Linked DNA regions of Drosophila melanogaster. The protein of the gene in region 1 interacts with the protein of each later gene in a pairwise test. Each region holds a gene or a part of one and is shown in the gene's direction. Other genes may lie near its edges. The genes, in order: CG14204, aust, Indy and CG5103.

Evidence for each region.
Region 2: the proteins of CG14204 (region 1) and aust interact in a two-hybrid assay, tested with the Drosophila melanogaster proteins (one large-scale study listed by BioGRID).
Region 3: the proteins of CG14204 (region 1) and Indy interact in a two-hybrid assay, tested with the Drosophila melanogaster proteins (one large-scale study listed by BioGRID).
Region 4: the proteins of CG14204 (region 1) and CG5103 interact in a two-hybrid assay, tested with the Drosophila melanogaster proteins (one large-scale study listed by BioGRID).

What each region holds. Positions count from the first base shown.
Region 1 is NC_004354.4:19,581,579-19,588,482, forward strand, and holds CG14204 (uncharacterized protein), read left to right. Parts: upstream 1-2,038; 5' UTR 2,039-2,063; coding exon 2,064-2,361; intron 2,362-2,420; coding exon 2,421-2,793; intron 2,794-2,851; coding exon 2,852-2,925; intron 2,926-2,998; coding exon 2,999-3,314; intron 3,315-3,378; coding exon 3,379-3,595; intron 3,596-3,886; coding exon 3,887-4,068; intron 4,069-4,126; coding exon 4,127-4,598; intron 4,599-4,668; coding exon 4,669-4,968; 3' UTR 4,969-5,479; downstream 5,480-6,904. Other genes in the region: CG14218 (uncharacterized protein), read right to left, coding at 1-81; CG14219 (uncharacterized protein), read right to left, coding at 5,804-6,073, 6,134-6,584, 6,645-6,817, 6,877-6,904.
Region 2 is NT_033779.5:9,248,836-9,253,028, reverse strand, and holds aust (australin), read left to right. Parts: upstream 1-1,986; 5' UTR 1,987-2,020; coding exon 2,021-2,276; intron 2,277-2,342; coding exon 2,343-2,737; 3' UTR 2,738-2,981; downstream 2,982-4,193. Other genes in the region: borr (borealin-related), read left to right, coding at 43-394, 679-1,087, 1,153-1,351.
Region 3 is NT_037436.4:18,843,014-18,848,844, reverse strand, and holds the start of Indy (I'm not dead yet), read left to right. Parts: upstream 1-2,577; 5' UTR 2,578-2,785; coding exon 2,786-2,809; intron 2,810-5,831. UniProt on the Drosophila melanogaster protein: Cation-independent electroneutral transporter (not associated with membrane depolarization) of a variety of tricarboxylic and dicarboxylic acid-cycle intermediates. There is also small, but detectable, transport of monocarboxylics.
Region 4 is NT_037436.4:18,290,839-18,296,305, reverse strand, and holds CG5103 (uncharacterized protein), read left to right. Parts: upstream 1-2,043; 5' UTR 2,044-2,077; coding exon 2,078-2,896; intron 2,897-2,960; coding exon 2,961-4,013; 3' UTR 4,014-4,181; downstream 4,182-5,467.

The sequences.
Region 1 (6,904 bases):
CGGCCCAGGATCGGCTGAGATCAGCGCCAGGAGCAGGCCCACCAACAGCAGGGCCATCAACTGCAGACGTAACATCCTCATCCTGACGGATCAAAGAGTATGTGTGTACCGCTCGAAAGGCCGTTCCAATCAGAACTGGCGCTGGTCAGCGCTGGAGTCGCCTGCCTGTACTCCAACGGAGTGGTGCCACGCGGGCCTGGGCGTCGCGGATTAAGTGCCCCCCCAAAGTCAACTAGTTAGACGGGTTAGCTGCGACCGTCCGCCTGGATCTCGTAATCGCAGACCCCGCCGACTGCCGGCGGTTATCAACGAGTTCAGTGCGTGGCAACAATTACTTTTGCACTACTTTTGCGCCAGTTTATAGATCGTAAGTGCAGCTCGAACTATGCATAATGCTTAGCGGCGAGTGCATTTTAAGAGGCTAAACAACACGCACCGTGGGACTAGAACTCCATATACCCACCTATATATATACCATACATACACATAGCATATACCATATAGTAGAGCTGCCTCCAACATAAGGGATTGATATACACAAGGGAACTAACTATCTGCAAGCTCATTAAGTATCTATACTATTTAGATTGTTCTGTGTCGAGTACGAATCTACATGTTTTAAAACCCTAACAAAATATCAATAATTCACAGATAAGTTTCCCATAAGATAGGGAAATCATTCATAGATTGCTTGTTTTATAATTGTAAACTCAAGTGGTTATATACCATATACAAACGTATGTATGTACATACTACCAATTTCACTTGAACTTGTGTCAAATCTCATTCCTCAAAACAGTTCAAATGTTCAACAATGAAGATTATCTGAATATTATAGGTGTATTCGATTGGGAAAGATTTTACGAACAGTGGGCGCTTACTAATTCGTTGACTAATTCGTCAAGTTTGTACCACTGTGCCGAAAAAGAGGGGCTGTCACGATTTGCTCTCATAATAATATGAATTTCAATTTCGGTTTGGCTGCGGCTGTTGCATTTGATTTTCAAGATATATTTAATCATTTCCAGAGTAATTAACAGCTTTTGGTTTTTCAAGCATTGGCGCAACTGGACAATGGTTAGCAACTCTCGTTTGCAATTCGCATTCGCATCGGAATTGGGTGAAAAACCAGTTTAGACCTTCGATTTTCCGAAAGTTTTGACCAAAGTTTTGACACTTGCTGCCTGAGTTCTGCATGTAAATTAGATTTTGACTGCTGTACCGGTTGTTCAGGTCTTTTCAAATAGGCAACTATGCATAATCTAATTTAAGTCATAGTTACTTATATACATATATAAAAGTACCATTCAAAACACTAACTTTCGCGTTGGCAATGCTGGGTATCTGATAGTCGGTTCGGTTGCATTTGGCGTTCCTTCTCGCTGTAACCTTGATGTATTGCTGTTGCATAACCAAAAAATGCGAATCTGGTCCAAAATTCATACGAAAACCAGTCGGTGCCACACCCCTCCACTTTTGGCTGGGAACCTAGACGAAAGTGAAAACTCGTTCGAATTTCCATTTTCCAGCAAAAGCTGGGAAAACCTGGAAAACACAGGATATCGAGAAATAAGTATTGCATGTCAAAATCAAAAACTGGACAAATCTCTGTCCCGAAAAATGTCGGAATTGCAGACACAAAAAAAAAAAAAAACGACAGACAACTGAGCAACAATTTGCTGAACATTTCGTTTGAATACCATTAGTCATGTTGTATGGAAAGCCAAATCGCCTTTTAATCAGCAGCTAAGTTAAGTTAAGTATTCTCGGGAAATTCGACAAGGTAGAGATGCTACCGAAACAGCCAAATCCAGCGGCTTATCTTTCCGGGTATTCATCCGAATCGCAATAGTATTAGCCACGTTAAGAGTTCGCTGCCCTGATTACCAAGGGTAGCTATGCCTCCGATTATTGGTAACTATTCTATTGTCGGAGGCGCAGATAATGAGATAATGAATTCTCGATTTCGAATGGGAAATGCACAGCAGGATTTGCCTGTGTATAAATGGGCCAGGGAAGGGTGATTCGCTAAACAGTCGTAAACTAGGAGCTCCAGGCGAAAGATGATCAAGCTATTGGCTATATTGCTTGCCATGGGAATGGCGATGGTCCAAGGAGCGCTGCCGACCCAACTATCAAATAATCAATGGACACAACACGATGTGTCCTCCATGGCGGATTACGAACGGCTCCTGGATCTGCGCTCCCTGGCAATGGAGTTCTATCGCGAATTTCGGAACATTTCAACGGCGGATGTGCATCTTCTGGGTGAGCGGATTGGATCACAAGATCTACAGTGCCTGGCCGATATGGCCCAGTTTATGAGTGCGCTTAGTGCGCCCAAGGCGTGGGCCCTAAAAAGTGGGTATTACAACATCTTCAACTTTGATGCCATTTGAGTTTATCCCTTCTATGCGAAGTGCTCGACGCGTGGGGCACCATTCCATCGGGATATCTCATTGGCAACCGCGTCGACATGGGCAACTACAGGGAGTGCCTGTCCGAGGGCGGAATGCTCACCTCATCGCAGGACATCCAGGGAAAGTACTGCTTCATGGAGCTGCCGGTTGCCAAGTGGTTGGGTTTCACTTCTGAGCTGCTGGCGGTGACCAACATAAGGACTGCTGTGTGCCTGCCTTCCTCTTGCTCGGCGGGCACCATGGAGCTGTTCCTCAAGCAACTGCTCAAGCGGCTGCTTGGCGTCAGTGATCCGACCAATTTGTTTTCCATCAGCGAGACGTCGTGCAGAATCAAGGAGAAAGCACCCTGGGATGGGCTCACCATATTCACAGTGTGAGTAGTGTCTTGATACATCCTAGCTGATCTATCCATACTAACTGACTACCATCAGCGTTCTACTGTCCGTATTTGGTGTCACGGTTATCCTGTGCACCCTCTACGACTACTTCTTGTGTCCGGAGCAGGGTAAGTAGCTGACATAAATCGGATAACAGCCTATATGTATGTATATGTACCATATATCCATGTCTACCCGCAGAAAAGCTACCCCGTCCCATCGGCGCCTTCTCAGCCCGTGCCACTTCGCGTTCGCTGTTCACCATTGTGGAGAACACGGCGAATCCGAATGTAATCCACTGTCTCAATGGCATGCGGTGCATGTCCCTGATCTGGGTAATCTTGAGCCATGAGTACATTATCAACATGAAGGGTCCCGCCATCAATCCAGCGGACAACCTGCGATGGGCGACGCAACTCTTCTCGAGCTTCATACTCTACGGTACCTTGTCGGTGGACACGTTCTTCTTCATCAGCGGCTTGCTGCTGGTTTCAATTGGCCTGCGAAGCATAGAAAAGTGAGTCAACTTGTACAGGGATTAATCCGATCTGTAGGCAGGCTAACATTCTCAATGGCTCCAGAAACAAGGGAAAGCTAAATGTGCCGCTGATGTATCTGCACCGATATCTGCGCCTCACTCCGATCGTAGCCGTTGCCATACTGGCATTCTACAAGATGATACCCCTCATCGCAGACGGCCCAATGTACGATGATATCGGCTTTTTCGACTACTCCGGGTGCAAGATGACCTGGTACTGGACTCTGCTCTACGTGCAGAACTACGCAACATCCGATGTGGTGAGTTGAATGTCCAAGTTGATCAGGAGAGGTGGACAAGCCCATCTAGTCCGTCCGTATCAGGATGGATCTGTATCAACCTTATATACCTTAGAAGTTACAATAATTAAAAGTGTTTAGTGGCTTTACTGCGAATAGGAGATCACTTCGATAGATGGCGCCTGCAGCACTAGAATTGATCGTTGGCGCCATCTATGTAAGTTCGGTGGTACCATTGCCATTGCAGTTGGAGCTCTTGACTATATCTGTATATTTATCTATCTAATTATTTGATTGTTGGTTGCTCCTTAGTGCGTGCCGCATACCTGGTACTTGGCGGTGGACATGCAACTGTACATCCTGTCCCCGATCCTGCTGATCGCCCTCTACAAGTGGGGCAAGAAGGCGGCCGGAGGTATCCTGGTGGTCACTTTGTTGCTCTCCGCCTGCCTGTTTGCCACCATAATGGTGAATGACTTCCCTGTGATGTTCAAGTAAGCCAGTCGCGCCCGCCGTTTTGTGTCCCCCAATGCTAATTGCAATTACTAACAGGAATGGAATTCAGGCTCAGGTGGTTCAGAGGAAGATCTACACCGCTACGCATACCCATGCGGCGCCCTGGTTGGTCGGTACTATGTTCGGTTATCTCCTGCACCTGATGCGCGGCCGAAGATTCAAGTTAAGCCTCCTGGCTACCTGGGCAGGCTGGCTGCTCTGCCTGGCCCCGCTCTTCACCTCGATCTTCGCCTTGTATCCGTACTCCAAGCTGCTGGGCAAATCGCCCTCAGTGTTGCAGGGAGCCCTCTACTATACACTGGTCCGGATCGCCTGGCCCCTCGGTCTCTGCTGGGTGGTCTTTGCGTGCATGCAGGGCTATGGTAGTCTGGCCAACAGCTTCCTCTCCTCTCCACTTTGGCAGCCGTTGTCCAAGCTCTCCTACGGCGCCTACATCTGGCACATCTTTGTCGTGGAAGTCGCCAATAGAAGCGTTCAGACCAATACGTACTTCTCCAACTATCAAGTGGTAAGTGTGTGGCAGGCAGGGTCACTCGACATTCCTATTGGACTTGAACGCTTCATTTCCAACTCCATAGATGCTCAACTTTTGGTCCACCTTTGGCTTTACCCTGCTGATGTCCTACGTGCTCTACGTTTTAATTGAGGCGCCTCTGGAGGCCTTGGAAAGAATTATGTTTCCCAATCGCAGAAGCCCGCCAGCAGCAAAGGATCAGCTGCATATCGAGTCCCGAACGGAAGTCGTGGACCAGATGGACCAGATGGATCACATGGACGGGATGGATCAGGTGGTGCAGCACGAGAAGCGCAGTGATATCCAGCCTGACCTGGAAACGAGTGCCAACAAAACAGAGACTGACCTCGAGTTATCAAATTAGACTTATCAGCTCCTATTTAGCCTTTATTAAAACGAACTACTTGTAATCTAGGCACAATTAACTTAACCACGGGTCTAGAGTTACGATGGAATGAATGGTCCTTGAGTTGAAAAGTCTTGCACTTAAGACGATATCAGTCGTTATCTGGTTGCGACTTTTGCGACCAGGTGGGTTTCGAATTAGTCATGAAGGTGATTCCCGACTTTGGCTTGCTGTAATGGGCACACAAAGATTTCAATTCTGACTCACAGAGGCGATGCACGCCCCATTCAGTTACAGAAAAAAAGAAAAGAAACACAAAAAAAAAACAGAAGGAACGACTTTGTCTAGTGTCTCGACTATCAGATATGTATGCACCAAAGCGTTTACAAGTTTTTCAGTTTGATAAGAGCCAAATCTGTTGATAATTTACATTCCATAGATTACGTATTTGTATTTGTATACTTGACTTCCCCACTTTGCTGACCATGTGTCTTGACTTTCATCTGCGTAGTGACGAAATGCTATGTTTATAGTCAGGAAATTGGAGAATTTGCTCTGATAAAACGATAAAATCAATCGATTGACAAACCAATCGAAACGTATTTATTAACATTTTAAACTTGTATTTTGGATGCTTAAAGTGGGCGGGGCCAACATGTTGTGGGCAGATCGACAGAAATGGGCAAGCCAAATAATAAAAGTAGGCGTATCTGCGTTCATATGGATGGACATGGAAGTATCGACTCGTCCAGTGATTCTGATCAAGAATATCGGAATCGCTTACCGTACAATGAATTTCGAACACAGTTTTAATACTTTACGTAACGCATGAAATCATATATTTTAAATGTAATTATACTAAAACGTTGCTCTTTTCGGGAGCAGCCTGAATAACTTCGTCGGGTATCGTGGATATCGCTTCCGCAGGCTTACCTACTGGAGATTCTTCGACTGATGCCTTCACCTCCGACATCCTGGGCTCCACCACCGCGGCCGGCTTGGCATTTGGCCTCTTTGCGGGCAGCAAAAGGCTTTCCAGACCGGCGAATGGCGCTTCGATTAGGATATGCATGAGGTACGAGAACAGAATCGTAAAGCCAAAGTCCGTCCAGAATCGAAGCATCTGGAGATAGGGGGATTCTTAGAATGGTCAACTCCGCGTACAAGGGAACATGGTACCTACCACTTGATAGTCACTAAAGTAGGTACTTGTGTGCGTGATTCCACCGTTCAAGCTCTCGATGAACATGTGAAAGATGTAGGCGGAATAGGATAGCCTGGACAGCGGCTGCCACAGGGGAGAGGATAGCAAGCTGTTGGCCAGTCCTCCGTAACCGTGCATGCAGGCGAAAACCACCCAGCAGAGACCAAGGGGCCAGGCGATCCTGGTTAGGCTTACGTAGAAGGCCTCCTCCACAATGGGCAACGTGTTCTGACCATAGATCGAAAACAGGCAGCTGGCTATCAGTGACAACGCAATCAGCCATCCCAGGAGGACAGCCAGGCGGTTCAGCTTGAAATCCTTGCCCCGGTTGGTATGAAGAAAGTAGCCGAACAGTATGCCAATCAGGTAGGGAGAAGCACGAGTCTGTGTGGCATAGTAGAGCTTCCTCATCGAATCACCGCCGCTTCCTCTGCAAATAAGAGAATTGTTCTGAATATCTTACATATAAGTATCCCTAACATCCACTTACAGCGATAAATCATTGATGACCATGATGCTAAAAAGACAGCCGGCCAGCAGGAGCATCAGAACAAAGATTCCGGCAGCCGCCTTCTTGCCCCACTTGTACAGGCAGATCAGGAGGAATGGTGCAAAGATGTACAGCTGCATGTCCACCGCCAGGTACCAGGAATGACTTAGGCACTGCGAGAAACCGTGGGTGATATAAGGTGATACAAAATGTCGTCATCGAAGGACCCTACCAGGCTATCAGTCGCATAGTTCTGCACA
Region 2 (4,193 bases), on another chromosome or scaffold:
TCGCAAAAACCCTGTAACGTGTAAACAAAGGCCGCTGCCACGATGCCGCGCACCAAGATACCAAAGAACTCCAAACGCAACCGCGAGGTGGCCAATCGCGAAGAGAAGGTGCGCCTGTACGAGCTGAAAATGGATTCCCGCCTTATCAGCATCGATTCGCTGGAGACCAAGTTCCTCTCCGCCGTGGACCACCAGGTGAAGACACTGCTCGGCCAGGTGCAGAAGGAGCTGGCCAATCTGAAGATGCCCGAAGTGCTGCGCCTCTTCGAGGAACTGGACCGCTTCAGCGACTTCAAGGCCAGCGATCAGACGCAGCTGCTCGCCTCGATGTCCATGAGTGGCAGCGCCATCGAGGGCCACGCCCCCTCCGCCACTGGAAGTCGCAATGACGAAGGTTTGTTGGCCTATATATGTATGCTGTTATACCAATCTGCTGGCAAGGATGTCATCACCCGAATTACAAATGAATACCGGTTTTACATGCCAAATTGGCAAATTCCATTGTATATTCGGTATTCATCATACCCTCTTGTTGCCATTTTCACTTTTAATTTTAATCTAACTGGTGTCCGGCTTTGTGACTAACTCAACTTTGCTTTCTAACTCCGCACCGCACATTTCAATGCACGCAAAATGCATATACCCACATCCACATCCTGTGCCGGTCACTGTATCTAGGCTACCTTACAGAGGACAGCAGCATCGGTGCCAGCGGTGGGAGCATCCTGGCCGCCCACACAGGCTCCCTGCTGCGGTCCACGAAGGCCATGCGCACACCCGGACCACTGCACTCGGCGAGGGCTCGTCGAGCGCGGCGCAGTCGTTCCGCCTGCGGGGATCTCAACATATTGCACTCGGCCAAACCGCCGTCAATTTCGAGCAGCAGCAGCAGCAGCCGCAATTCGCGCAGCAAACTGCGCACACCGATGGCCTCGCGTGCGAAGGCCTTCAGTGCCGACCGCACTCCTTTGAAACAGAAGCAAATGCGCTCCGGATCGCCAACTACACCGCCGATGGCATTCCTGCGCTATCCCAAGCCCGGCGAGGTGGCACTATCCAAATACGGCAGTCCCATGGTGGCTCAAGTGTAAGTATTGATCACATACTACGTGTCGATACCAATTTGTTAAAACCATTTTTCCCACACGATAGAATGCCAGACAAGTTCGCCAATGTGAACATACCCATTCGGAACGGAGTTCTTAGCTTGCGGCCCAAAAAACTGGATGCCGACGAGGTGGAGTCAAATCTGTTGGAGAACCTGGACGAGGACACCCTTAACCAGATCAAAACGCTGCACGAGAACTTGCAGATGATTGTTAATAAGGCCAGCCAGGCGGTGTTCAAGTAGCTGTCATTTCAAACGCTTATCTAGATATAATGCTATATCATATATTTTAATACGTTTCGTTTAAGTTCAGTTTTCATTTTACTCATTTAGTTCAAGTATTTTGTCTTTATTCATAAAAATCTATCGTATTTGCATAAGTTTCAATACATGTTCATATCCAAGTGTACGGCGATTTAAATGTAATGTTTTAAATACATGCTTAATCCAAAAAAAAAAAAATGAAGCGTTCCATGATGATTACTCGCCTTCAAGCAAAACGACGGAGAATCGAAAGAGATGAGAAAGTGAGAATCCAATTTAATTCTGCAATGGATAAAGTCGATGAGATGGCCAAGTTGTTCAAGCAGGATGTGGACAACAAATTGGGTTTGCTTCAAGCCAGGACTGATGCTCGTTTGCTGCAGATGAAATGGTCGGATTTCATGGCTCTAGCAAAAACTGCTACCTTCAAATAACATCTTTCTTTTGCTAATTGCAAAAGAGGCAACCGCTTTTAAGTTCCCAGATTTCAGAAAGTGGCCAATAAAATTATGTTATGTTAAAAATGTTTAAAATGTATTTTCGCACGTTGATATGAATACAGTTTTGAATCGCTTGTTCACCAAAGAGCCCTTTGACTTTGTTAGAATTAGGCGATTAGTTGACTGGAATATATAAATCGTTAGAAATATGCCTCGCACCAAGATTACAGCTCGTCGTCAGGCCCAGCGCCAGAAGGCTGATCGCGAAGAGAAAGTGCGCCTGTCCCAAATCAAAATGGATTCGGCTCTGGAGAAGATCGATGAGATGAGCAAGCGCTACAAGCAAGAGGTGGACAACCAAATTAAGGTGATCCGTGGTAGGACTGATAAGCAGCTACTGCAAATGAAGATGCCAGAATTCTTGGCTCTCGGGTTTAAGACTTTTGCCGAATTTCAGAGGGCAGGTGAGATTTAATTTAACTGTCGGCAATAGAAGAGTAATTGTTATTTTTGTTTTACTTTCTTTCCAGCTATTAAGCCGCCCACAACTCGCAGTTTGTCCATCAGTCGTGGTCGAACACGAACTCCGCAGAATGCCCTGCCACCGAGGCTTCAGGCGCATTCGGTGGACAGGGCTCTGAGTGGCGACACCATGAGCTTTGTGCGATGGCCCCGCGCCGGAGAGATGGTGCTCTCGAAGGCGGGAAGCCCGCTGGCCGTCCAGATGCGTCCGGATCGCTATGCGGACGTCCACATTCCCACCAGGGGCGGCGTGATCACCGTGAAACCGCACAAGATCAACACCGTGAAGCGGGAAGTACTGATGCAGCTGGATGAGAACACACTCAACCAGGTGAAGACACTGAATGCCAATCTCGGATTAATTGTGGACATGGCCAACAAACTGGGCAAATTGAAACCGTAATTGCTAGCTATCATAGGAAACTTTAAGAACGCGTCTATTACGCTTATTTCGTTAATATTTTATTTAGTCTTTTTCATTTTCTCATTTTCAATGTTTTTGTTCAGTTGTTAAACATTAAGTGAACGTGTCTGTTGTTCTTGTTGCTGTTTGCTGCTTTTTGCTTGCTTCTTGTTGTATAATTAATTAATAAATTTAATTAATTGTATGTATATATATATATATATATATATCGATTTGTAAGTACAAACATAGCGTACAGAATACCGTCTCCACTAACATTAAATTTAATTGTTTAAACATTTTTCTATTGTGTTGCATGTGTGTGTTTTGTGTGTCTGTGGGTGAACATTCTCAATTATGCTTGTAAGTATAGTACTTAGTTAAATTAAAGTGTATTGTGTTTTCATTGAAATGAAATTCAAGTGAAACTTTACTTGGTTTCCTAACTTTTCAACTTCACTTTCAGTTGTGTGATTCCTTAGACAAACGTTACATTTACACATATACAGATTTAGTTATTAAAAATTATCATTAATTTTTAGTGTGTATAGTGTTAAATTTAGCATTTGTTTCTTAGGTTTCCCATTTGAGTGTGAAATGTGAGTGGGAGTGGGGCGTGTCGTACGCGTTTATATAGTTACAGATACATAAAAATACAATACATAGCAAAAGGTACATATATAGAGACTTAAAATACGCTTGTTTTCACTGAATTATTCAATACGATTTTTAGAGACAAAGACAACATATACATATTTGGACAATCAATTGATACGTGTAAACAGTGACAGATGACAACAACATAACATTCAGATTTGTAACATTCATTATGTTTGTGTGGATAGGGTTTGAGAGTTTTCGCAAAACGATTTCAAAGAATTAAACATACGGGTACTGACTCAAAACCAGCAATAAACGAGTATAATCTAATCAAAATACTCACGATAATCTTAAAACAACTTGCCGTTTTTCTTCAGTACAGTCTTCCCTCCAAATCACGTATTTTAGCATACCCAAATTACCGATTATGTGTGTTTATCTAAGCGCTAAATAATCGTTGATATAAGTGAACAAAATTAGATGCATACATATGTGACAATTTGAACTGAAGTTGCCTGCTCTTAAAGATCTGATCCCCTTCCATAAATTCAGCATTAATCCAACCTCCTATATATGTGGAATAAACCAACCTATATAAATATCGGTTTCGGTTCCTACACCTCTAACTACGCTAACCTCGACCATCCGCTACTTTTGAAAATGTTTTTCAATTTCAAATTTTAGGCCTATTTCGTCGTACGTTTTTCGGTCTTTCAACTTTTTTTCCATTTGATAACACAGCCAATCAATCAACGATGCCTTCTTCCATCAAATCGATATTTTCGTTCCTCTATTTTTGCATTTTTGCATTGACTGAAAATAAGTTAATTTAAATATTGAGTAGTTGTGCTGCGTG
Region 3 (5,831 bases), on another chromosome or scaffold:
CCAAAAAACATTATGGGTAGATTACGCCCACAATTTTCAACAAGCTGTTGAATTTCGATATTTTATATGTTTTTTTCCAATTTCTAACGATATTCACAAAACAATTTTAAAATTTCAACTGTGCATTCCCACTCGCTAAGCAATGGATACCTTTTTTTAATTAATTTTTATTAGCACGAAGATTCTATGTAAAGCACCATCTGTCGGCAGGCGACAGAACTTGATCAGCTCTTTCTAAGTTCACAACCCCACGATACAATGCTCGGGTTCATGTCAAATTACACGTAAGTAAAAACGTGCTGGCGAATTTAAGCGAGGCGAACTGATTTTGCGAGCGAAAAAGAAAGAGAGCGAATTCGGCGAAAATACGCAATAAAGTGACTAAAAGTACTTAAATATTAAAAATTTTCGTAAAGGTATTAGCTAAAATTTTTATATTTTTTTATTTATTTGTACACTGTAGACAAAAGTTTTAAAGTTATGATTCATGATAGTTAATGTAAAGATACGCTATAGCTGTTGGGGTTTTCAGCCAGCCTTTAATATTTACTATTTAATATTTAAGTATTAGGTTACAACATTACTTACAATTATTTACAATATATTTAAAGGGATTAATAATTGGGGATTACGAAAAATTGTTTACAGTAAATGGATTATATTGGCTTTTTTCAGAAATTTGGATGTGGGGGTTTTTAAGATGTCTATAAGTTTTGAATTCGTGTTGCTGGATCTAAGGGGACTGAAGGGCGATGAAATCGTTTAGGATGCAGGGTATTAGGAAATGTAGGAAATCGGGGTCAATATTGCAGACACAGCATTCGCTGTAGATTGGCTGGAAGAATCGGAGCTCATTATACTAGATTTAAAAAGTATGTAACAGGCAGAAGGAAGCGTTTCGCACTATATAAAGTATATATATTCCTGATCAGGATCAATAGCCGAGTCGATCTACCCATGTCCGCCTGTCCGTATGAACGTCGAGATCTCAGATCGCAGAAGTTTTAGTTGCACTGGCATCAGACTAGGAATGCGGAAAAAAATGAAAGATTTCGTTTTCCCCATTACAATTGATCCTGATTCTGCCAAGAATTAATCACAAATTAACAGTGATAGTTTAGGTAAAGATTTGAGTTTAGACACATGATTCATGCACTCAGAATGTATTTCTTCAGGTACCACGGCGTGCAAAAAAAATATCTAGCATAAACACGCTTTATGCCATCGAAAATTTCGATCGGAAGTGATCAGAGAAGTGAGAAAGTAAGAGCAAGAGAAAAGTAAGGCAACTTAATTTTTTTTCAATAAGACTGTATCTTCTTTAAAGTCAGTTTGTATTCTTTATATTTGAAAACATTAAAATTTTTCAACTTATGGATTTTTATTAGGAAGACCATCATAATTTATTCAAATCCTGAAGAGAGGAGTGAAAAAAGGAAAAGTAAGACAGACATTCAAAACTAGAGGAGCTCGAGTTCCTATAATATAAGACATTTAAAATTCGTTGGAAATATAGAAACATAGTGGCAATAAAGATAACAATATAAAATAAATCAAAACATTTCTAAATGTGTGGTGGCTATTTTTCGTTACTTAAAACTGCATTCTTTAACTTCCATACGGAGTAATGCTGGGGTCGTTTTGAATTATATCATATATTTTATAGCCAGACTCAGTATATCTCCTGGTCCTGGCAGATCACCGGAACCCACTTCTCATCAGTGAAAATGACAGGTAAGATCGACTTTTTAAGCTATTTTTGCACTTTGATATAAAAAGAAATTTAATTTCAGACAACCACAAAACGCTGAAGGAACATCAACATACACCCTTTGCCAGCTGAGTGTTCCGTTTTGAGTCTTTGGAAAAGGCTTTTCATACTCACATATTAAAATTCATCAACATGGGCATGAGTCGCTGACTTATGCTAAATAGAACAGTCTGTATCGACAACATAATCCTAAATTAATGAAATGCCAAGTTACACCGGTCTCGAAAAATGCATTAGCAATTTGCACGGTGAGTCAAAGAGACTATAGGAACTACAAAGCATATTCAAACAACATTTAATTAAATTTCAAGGCCAGAGTATGTATATATCGCGTTGTTCTACATTTGACAAACGTAAAATAAATTTCAATTACATGCGGAGTATACCAAAAATTGTTTGAAAAGGGTTTTTGACTGCCTGTTAAAATTACAAAGTATCAAAGTATTAACATGGCTTAAATAAAGAGCACTTTTAAAAATATTTATATAAAAATATTAAAGTAACCCTTCCGAATATTTTAATTTACCATAAAGGTCAACTAGGTAAAAAATACTTTAAGTGTACGAACGATATGTAGATATACCTGTGTAGAATATAGTAAATACGCCCCTACAAAGAAGCATGCACAGCAAAAACAAGTTTAAATGTGTCTCTTAGCGTATTAAAGTATTTGTATTTGCCCACAGAGACAACGACAACTTATCAGATATTTTCCATGTCCAGGGCTTAAAAGAGAGAGAGAGCGAGTGAGAGAGAGAGAGAGAGGAGAATGCGAAAGAAAATCGTTTGGGTTTGGTTTTGAGTTTTGGTAGCATTCGCATATTAGTCGTCGAACGCAAAGCAACATATTCATAAAAAGTGGTCTAGCCAACGAATATATATATATATATATGTTATTTTTCGGCGCGGTGGTGGAAATTATGAAATAATCGCTTACGGTTGTGCTGAAAGAGAAACGGCGTGATCAATTCTTCAGATATACCAATAGTATCTATACCATATAGATCCCCAACCATGGCGACCGAAACTACAAAAATGGTAAGTTTGATTTTGAGAAAGCGGTAATTACTTGTGATTAGGCAGGTGATTAGTGATAAGTGGTTTGCAGCTAGAAATTTGGGAACGTGGCGGCATTTCGTCTTTTCCGGTTAATTGCTTTTCGTTGACCTTGAGAACCTGCCTTAATGCCCGGCAAGCCCCTAGGACTTTTCGCGACGAACTGTTAAGATCCGACTGAAAACCTGGTTTCGAGTTTGAGTAGCGCGTGGCAATCGGGTTAGGTAAGAGAGTGTTATGTAAACAAAGTCCAAAACCAAGTGTTTTATCAATTTTAAAATGATTTTGAGATCACATGTGCTGCTATTGTGCTCCTTAGCCGAAGTGCTTCTGTTCCCGACTTTGGAGATATATTCCACTCCCTAGAAAATAAGTACTTATATAAAAACACTTCCAATCATTTTGCTCTCTTATTGAGCAGCTTGTTTGAGTGCTCAATCTATAAAGTGTCGTCATACTGTTTACACACCCACTTAACAACCCATGACCAGTTTTTTATTATTCTGCTGGTATGATATCTCCATTTCCCCATCTGTTATCTAACTGAAGCAGCGCACTTTTGTGCAAATCTTCGGAAGTGACACCGCTTTCTTCCCCCACATTCTCCCCATATGTATTATATGTATTATATGTATGCATTATCTCTCTCGTGTGTGGACAACCACCTGACCGAAAAACTGAATGACGACACCGAAAGATAACAATATGTACAAAATTATTCAGATTCAGCAAAATAATTAGCATGCCCCAGGTTTCTCAAGGCAATTAGTGGAAAGGCTTAAAAGCGCTTAACTTTTTTAAGAATCCGTCACAATTCGTCTTTTTATTGAAGAGCAGAGTTATAAACGTGTGATAACGTTGATTCTGGAATTTCCAGAAGCGCGAGGATTGCAAACAGACTTTATGGAACCTAGAAAGTGCAGAGAATATTTAGACAGAAGCTGCTTGAAATGATCAGGCGAGGAATTTCGTTGTAGATTTATAGATATTATAATTATTGTTATTCACTATTTATTGTTGGCACCTCTATCTGATTAATAGACCCAGCGTAAAATAGTAAAACCCTGTTTCAGTAATGAATGAAATGGAACTAGATAAAGCTGATAAATTCATTATGCGTTTTGTTTCACAAATGTCACCCCATTTTTCAAAACAGAGAGTCCAACGATCATTTGAGTACTATGCATTTGAAGTTCAAATTCCAAAAGCAGATGAATGTCTGCATTAGAATTCAAAGTACTTTACGTATATTTTTAGAATCGCCTAGCACTTTGGCTCTCGAACAAATGTTTACTCACATTTTGGCTTATAATCTCCATATTACCTTGAAGAAAATACATCTTTTTTTGTGGGCCCCGCCCCCACACGTGACATGGAATGACGCAAAAGGAAAAACAATTGCAGACGCAGATCTGAAATGTTTATTTCGATATATTCTTTCGTATAATACGCGCAAAATGTGTCTGAACTTAGCATGGGGATTTATTTTGCGGCATTACCTAATGGGACCAATGAATATGATTCTTATTTGATATTCCGACTATTCTATATTATTTATTTAATTGTGTTTCAAAGTGATTAAATGTGGGTCAAACTCAATCTCTGAGCCTTGGTTTTCGGTTTGTTTTGTTTGGCGAACAAAAAAACAAGTTGCAAAAATCTTGAGCTGAAATTTATTGACCGGTGCTAAACTGGTTTTGCTTTTCGAGCACAGGGGGTTTCCTAAGTGAGAGCCTCTAGAGAAGATCTGTTTAATGTTTCAACTTCAACTTGCACGCTTCTCGTTTGAGTGGCCAACAAATTGCTGATCGAAGTCGATTGGAAACGGCTTGAAATCCTGAATTCTTACGATGGTCTTAATAATAGCAGGTAGGGAATTTTCACAACAAAGCACTTGAATAACTTAGCCCTTTTGTAAGTTAATTGCCAGTAATTACAAATAACTAACAACTGTTTCAATAAAATGTAGTGCGAGTTGTTCAAGAACACTGCTTACCAATAATAAAGGGTATTTACCTTATTTGCAGTACATTTCTTACGATTTAAGTATGTATGTTGTTAGCACACATTTAGTGGGTCGGTTTCTTCTACATACATATGTACATATATTTTACTTAACTTCGTGTACACTAATTTATTCGTTGCATTTCATTGTCGCCTTCCGTTCGGTTCAATTAAATTACAGCTCAATGCAATAAAATGATCTCACTTGATCAACTTGCTGCGAAAAAAAAACTTTCCACATATGTTTCTACACACATAAGATACATTTATGATTCATATAGCATTTTCTTGCTTAAACAGCAAGATCAAAGAAAATAATGTGTTGTCAAGCACGGCGCCTCTGAAATAAATCTGATACAATTATCTCCTCTCTGGCGAAATTTAATATGAGTGAAATTTGTTCTGGCAAGTTTCTTAAAGTTGTCGTATTGATTCCCGAATGTTCGATGCACGTAGGTTCCCTAACCGAATCGTCCTCGTTCTCAATTGAATCGATCCAATCAACAATTTATGGCCATTTCCTATGCGACTTTGAAATTTGTTCGTATTGATTTTTACAAAGTGTGTTGGTCTGCAATTATTTCTATGTCATAGAAGCCTACAAATCCGCCGTGGTAAAACTGTTTTTTTCTCTAATTCTGTTATAATTGTATCTAAGCGAAATATTATATATTTTTTTTAGTCAGTGTTACTTTCGTAACAATCTATTTTCCTAGTACATTGCATGTTCAGTCCTTGACAACACCTATTTGAATTTGAAGTTGGAATTCTAAAAATAGAATTTATTTCACCACCCGCGATGATTAAAGAACGTCTAAGTATCTCAACCACTATCTTAACAGGCCACGCTTATTTTTATCAGTTTTTAGTGGAAAACCCATATGTGGAGCATGCCAAATGCAGATGATAGAACATTTACACGCGGCATGCACAGGAAAAGCTTCAAGTCCATTCCATGCCAGCAATCGATGACGATGACAGTGGCAACCACTTGTCACAT
Region 4 (5,467 bases), on another chromosome or scaffold:
GGAATCAATAAATGAGCTTGGACATAGGTCAATCGCTTCCACTTAGTCAAATGTCCTATTAAAGTCGAGTGTGCCTGCTTAGCCTGGGAAAATTTATTCCGAATCCGAATGCGATTTTTCATGCTCTTCACATCCTCGATTGGGAATGGCAGTCAATCGTTAATTGAATTGTTTATCAGTCCTAAAATAAATCGTATAAAATGTGATACTTCACTATTACCAGGCAAAAATGTTTACCATTATATAAAAGACTTAAGTCTAAAATATATTGTTTTTTACTTATTTGAGATGAAAGTATAGTTTATAACGTGAGCTTAAAATCTATATTTATATACAATGGTTAATACATTTTGGTGGTTTTTGTGCTGTTACTTAAATTAAATTGTACAGGTTATTTTTGAAAGAATTTTATTATTCTTGAAATGTTTTGCGTTTTTGGATTTTTAAGGTAGTTTTTCGGTTACTTGGCACCTGTTGAGCTTCTTCACTTGCCTGAGAAACCCGCTCCATAGCTCAACTGAATTCAGAAATGGCAGAAAAGACGAACGCGTATTGGGTTTGCTACTGGAAACAACGAGATCTTGATGAAGGAGGATTCTGAGCAGCCAGAAGGAGCCAGAAGGAGGGTTCGCAGTCCTCAGAGGCTTCTTCTTTGAAAACGATGTATGTGCCTACCGAAGCGGAGGGTTCAGCGAAGTGTTCCAGAGCCTTGATCAGGAAATATATTGTATATCATCTTTAAATTTTTCTTATAAATTACTCACTTATTTTAATAGCATTTTTGATTAGGCCCCTTGAAATCTCCAAATCAGATGTCAATGCTATAATCCCCATTTCCCACGGTTATCATCTGGTGAAACTCTCTTAAAGCACTTCCACTACATAAATTCGCTTGAATTCATACTCGAAACATTAGCAATGGATACTGAACCCTTTGCTAAGTGGCAAACATCAGGGAAATATCGCTGGGCGTTGCGAATGACGACAAATTACACACACCAACTGCTGGGCCCGTGTCTTCGGTTGGGTATTTACTGGAAATTTGCAAACAATATTGATTTCGGACCGATCAAAATAAAAATTAATCAATGCACTTAAAAATTTTGAAAAACACACATAAGGAAGCAAACTCAATGACGTGGAAAAGGGAAAGGGTGTGGTGTGGAGGGAACCCCTTTTTTTAAGCAACCCTCCGGCTGACTTTAAAGTGCTCGAAAGAAACTTAACTAATTTATAACTTATGACTGCACGGCCATGGACAATTTTCCATGCCACTACAAAGGAGAGCAAAAGCCAAAATTTGACATGAGTAGCGGTCGCTTAGCCGAAACCATGTGTAAACCCCTTTTTTTTTAAATTCAAAGTAAACCCTTCAGTCGGGACATGTGAGTGTGCACATGTCAGCAAGCGAATTAATCGAAGAGAAATGATTTATTTAGCGCTCGGACAGACGGAACGCTTCGATGATCCGGGGAAAGGGTTAGAATCCAATGCAACCCTCGTGCAATTCCGATTCGCACCCAAATCAAATTTAAACTGTTTTCAAAACTGCACCTCTTGGCTCATTGATGGGCATTTATCGGTCCAGAGGGTTGGTCCTGCACTCTATGTTTACTTATGCGTTTTCTCGCTGTGAGAACTGCAATTTTTCACCGTAAATTCACACTGCATTTTTTTATATAACCTTCACTGAATGAAACTTTTTACTGTTTTGAGTTTCTGCCGTCAAAATATTTACGACTTTTGATTTGTAATGACCTTACTTGGATGTTTGAGTGATTCGTGTGGGAATGCTGTTTTGATGCTTTCAATTTGCTGAAAATGTACAATTACTAAAAAAAAACAAAATCAAATCAAAAAGCCATCCATGCATTTTACACGTGGGAATTGGAAGAAAAAAGGACTAAACATTTCAAAATTCTTCTACCAATTTGTTAAAATAAAACTTATAACTTATATAAATACATTATATAATTTTTACGCCAATCGAAGGGAAATTTGAAATGTGGTAAAAATTACAGCACAACAGTCTGTCTTTGATTAGTTTCTCAAAATTAATCAAAATTTGGTTGTGAAAATGTCGAACGCTAAGCTGGACAGTAAGGTCGTTCAGAACCTGAAGGACGTGGCCCAAAAGCTGCGGATCCACTCGATCACCTCGACACAGGCGGCCAAGTCGGGACATCCGACGTCCTGTGCCTCGTTGGCCGAGATAATGACGGTGCTGTTCTTTCAGCAGATGCGCCTAAATCTGAAGCATCCTCGCGATCCTTCCAGCGATCGATTGGTTCTGTCCAAGGGACACGCTGCACCCATTCTGTACGCCGTTTGGGCGGAGGCTGGACTCTTCCCGGTGGAGGAGCTGCGAAATTTGCGCAAGGTGGACAGTGATCTAGAGGGTCATCCCACTCCACGGCTGAGTTTCGTCGATGTGAGCACCGGATCCCTGGGACAGGGCATCTCAGTGGCCGCTGGAATGGCCTATGTGGGCAAACACCTGGACAAGGCCGACTATCGTACATATGTGATCGTGGGCGATGGCGAGGCTACCGAAGGAGCAGTCTGGGAATCGCTCCACTTTGCCGGCCACTACTGCCTGGACAACCTGTGCGTAATCTTCGATATGAACAAGATCTTCTGCTCGGACATAGGCACTGAAATGGAGGTTTATCGGGAGAGGTTGGACGCCTTCGGGTTCAATGCCCTAGTCTTAAATGGCCACGATATTGATGAGCTGGCCAAGGCCTTCATTAATGCGGCCAGCACCAAGGGTAAGCCCACGGCTCTTTTAGCCAGGACGACTAAGGGAAAGGACTTTCTGGGCATCGAAGGAATCGAAGAAATGCATGCACAGCCACTGGGTAAGAGGGCCGAATCTGCAATCAAGCATTTGCAGGTATGATTGAAAGACCAATTAATTGCATTAACGGTATGGTTAATGGTATCATGTGTTTCCTCAGATGAAAATCGCAAATCCCAACGTCCGCCTGACACCCAAAAAGGTGGGAAAGTGCGGCCACGCCCCCGAGGTGCATATTAACAATATAATGCTGTGCAGTCCGCCCAATTATCGGCTGGGAGATTCGGTAGCCCCACGCTTAGCCTACGGAACCGCCTTGGCCAAAATCGCGGCTGATAATCCTCGGGTAATTGCCCTTGATGGCGATACAAAGAACTCGACGTATGCGGACAAGATGAGGAATGCATTTCCAGAGCGTTTCATCGAGTGCTTCACCGCACAGCAGAATCTGGTGGGCGTGGCCGTGGGAGCCACCTGTCGACGTCGCACTGTGGCCTTCGTTTCGACGTATGCGACCTTTTTCACACGGGCCTTTGATCAGATCCGCATGGGCGCAATTTCGCACACGAATGTTAACTTTGCGGGCTCCCACTGTGGCTGCAGCATCGGCGAGGATGGTCCCTCCCAAATGGGACTGGAGGACATGGCCATGTTCAGGAGCATTCCCGGGAGCACGGTCTTCTATCCCACGGACGCAGTTAGCACGGAGAGGGCGGTGGAACTGGCTGCCAATACTAAGGGCGTGTGCTACATCCGCACAACGTATCCGAGCACAACGGTGATCTACAACAATGACGAGGTGTTTGCCGTGGGACTGGGCAAAGTGGTGCGCCAGAAGCCCTCGGATGAAGTGCTCCTGATTGGAGCCGGCGTCACATTGTACGAGTGCCTGGCCGCAGCGGAGAGATTGGAGGAGGATTGCATTACGGCACGAGTGATCGACCCCTTTACAGTGAAGCCCCTCGATGTCGGACTAATCGTGAAGCATGGAAAGCTGTGTCGTGGAAGAATCGTCGTGGTGGAGGATCATTACCAGCAAGGCGGATTGGGCGAGGCGGTCCTCAGTGCTCTGGCCGACTATCGAAACTTTGTGGTCAAGCATCTCTATATTACCACTGTACCGAGATCAGGCCCTCCTGCTGTTCTGCTGGACATGTTTGGGGTCTCCTCCAGAAATATATACAAAGCAAGCCTGGCCATCATGAAGAAGTGAGCAGAATGTTCGAAAAAATCGAAAAAATTAAGAAGTGTAACTTTATAATTTCAAGTACTTTCCGTAATCAAAACTTTTAAATATCTCTCTCAACACAAATTATAACTGTAACTATATTTATATTTTGGTTATCATGCAAATTGAATAAAAAATTAGCAAGAAGTTAATAAAAAAAACTATTATCGCATTGTTGGACATTTTAGTCACCTGTATTTATTTTTTTATGAGAATTAAATGATCTTTATTGTATTCAAAGTACTTTGTTTTTGGACCGAAATATGAACCACTCCACTTCTTAATAAATCAAATATTCCCTTAATAAGAAATCAACCCTTTTTTAAATGTGACCTGTCCCTTTTTCATTGATACGTGCTCTTCAGCTGCGGTATTATATATCGCTCTACCTGAACTAATAACCGTGCAACGTGAAATGCACTACATGCTACTGAAGTTCAAAGAAAAATTGCATTTGCCAAAAATCAATTGGGCGGAATTAATTTCAGGAACTTAACACAGAGGATCATTTACTGCGTTGGCGGTACTTTTCGATTTTGACATATTTATTTGCAGTGACCTTTTCGCAGGGGCGCATCCAATCGATAGCCTCCTCTTCCTATTGTTGATTTAGTTTTCGATACGGTTTGACTGTATTATCAGGCAAATAGTTGACACTATTTGAACAGGGAATTACCCCTAAGGAACAGGAGAAATTTTAAAATTAATTACAAAACTATAAAAAAATTTATTTAATATATGTTCCTCTAGTTATAAGCTTAACTGACAACTTTTTCTGTTTATATATGTATAACTAAAAGATAAATACAAGTATATATAATAGGAGCCTTATATTAATAATGAAACAAAAATATTTTGTAAAAAAACAAGGGTATCTCGTGGTCGAATCACTCCCGTTTCTTTTAGTTCTATCTCGCCTGACCAAAGGCCACTTTAAATTATCCGTAATGACATCCGTTGCCGTCTAATGTGGCATTCATCCATTTATTCATTTGCCTCTGAGGCATCAGAGGTCCATTTATTGTTTTTCGCTTCCTAATCAGTACTCTATATTGTTTGATGGTTTGGTTCAAAAGGACAACAGGATGTGCCTCTGTGTGTGGTTAAGGGTTGGCCAAGTGGACAAAGTATCCCTTCCGATTCGATCAAAATTTACGATAAATGCTTTAAAAATTCTATACACCTCAAATACACAATGGACGCACAGATAGCGGAGAAGTTTTTCAATTTTTGTTAAGTGAGCATGGCTAACTAGATTGGTTAGAGATCATAAATTCAACAAAATGAAAATAGATTAGATGACATCATATGTGGAGTGCCCATTGTTCCCGCCACACATGTGTAGGAGTTGGATGTGTGATTTTGGGGTAGATTTATGAGGGAACGACTGCACCTGCTTGAAAATGTCCCCCACCGCCACACAAACATATATCATTTAA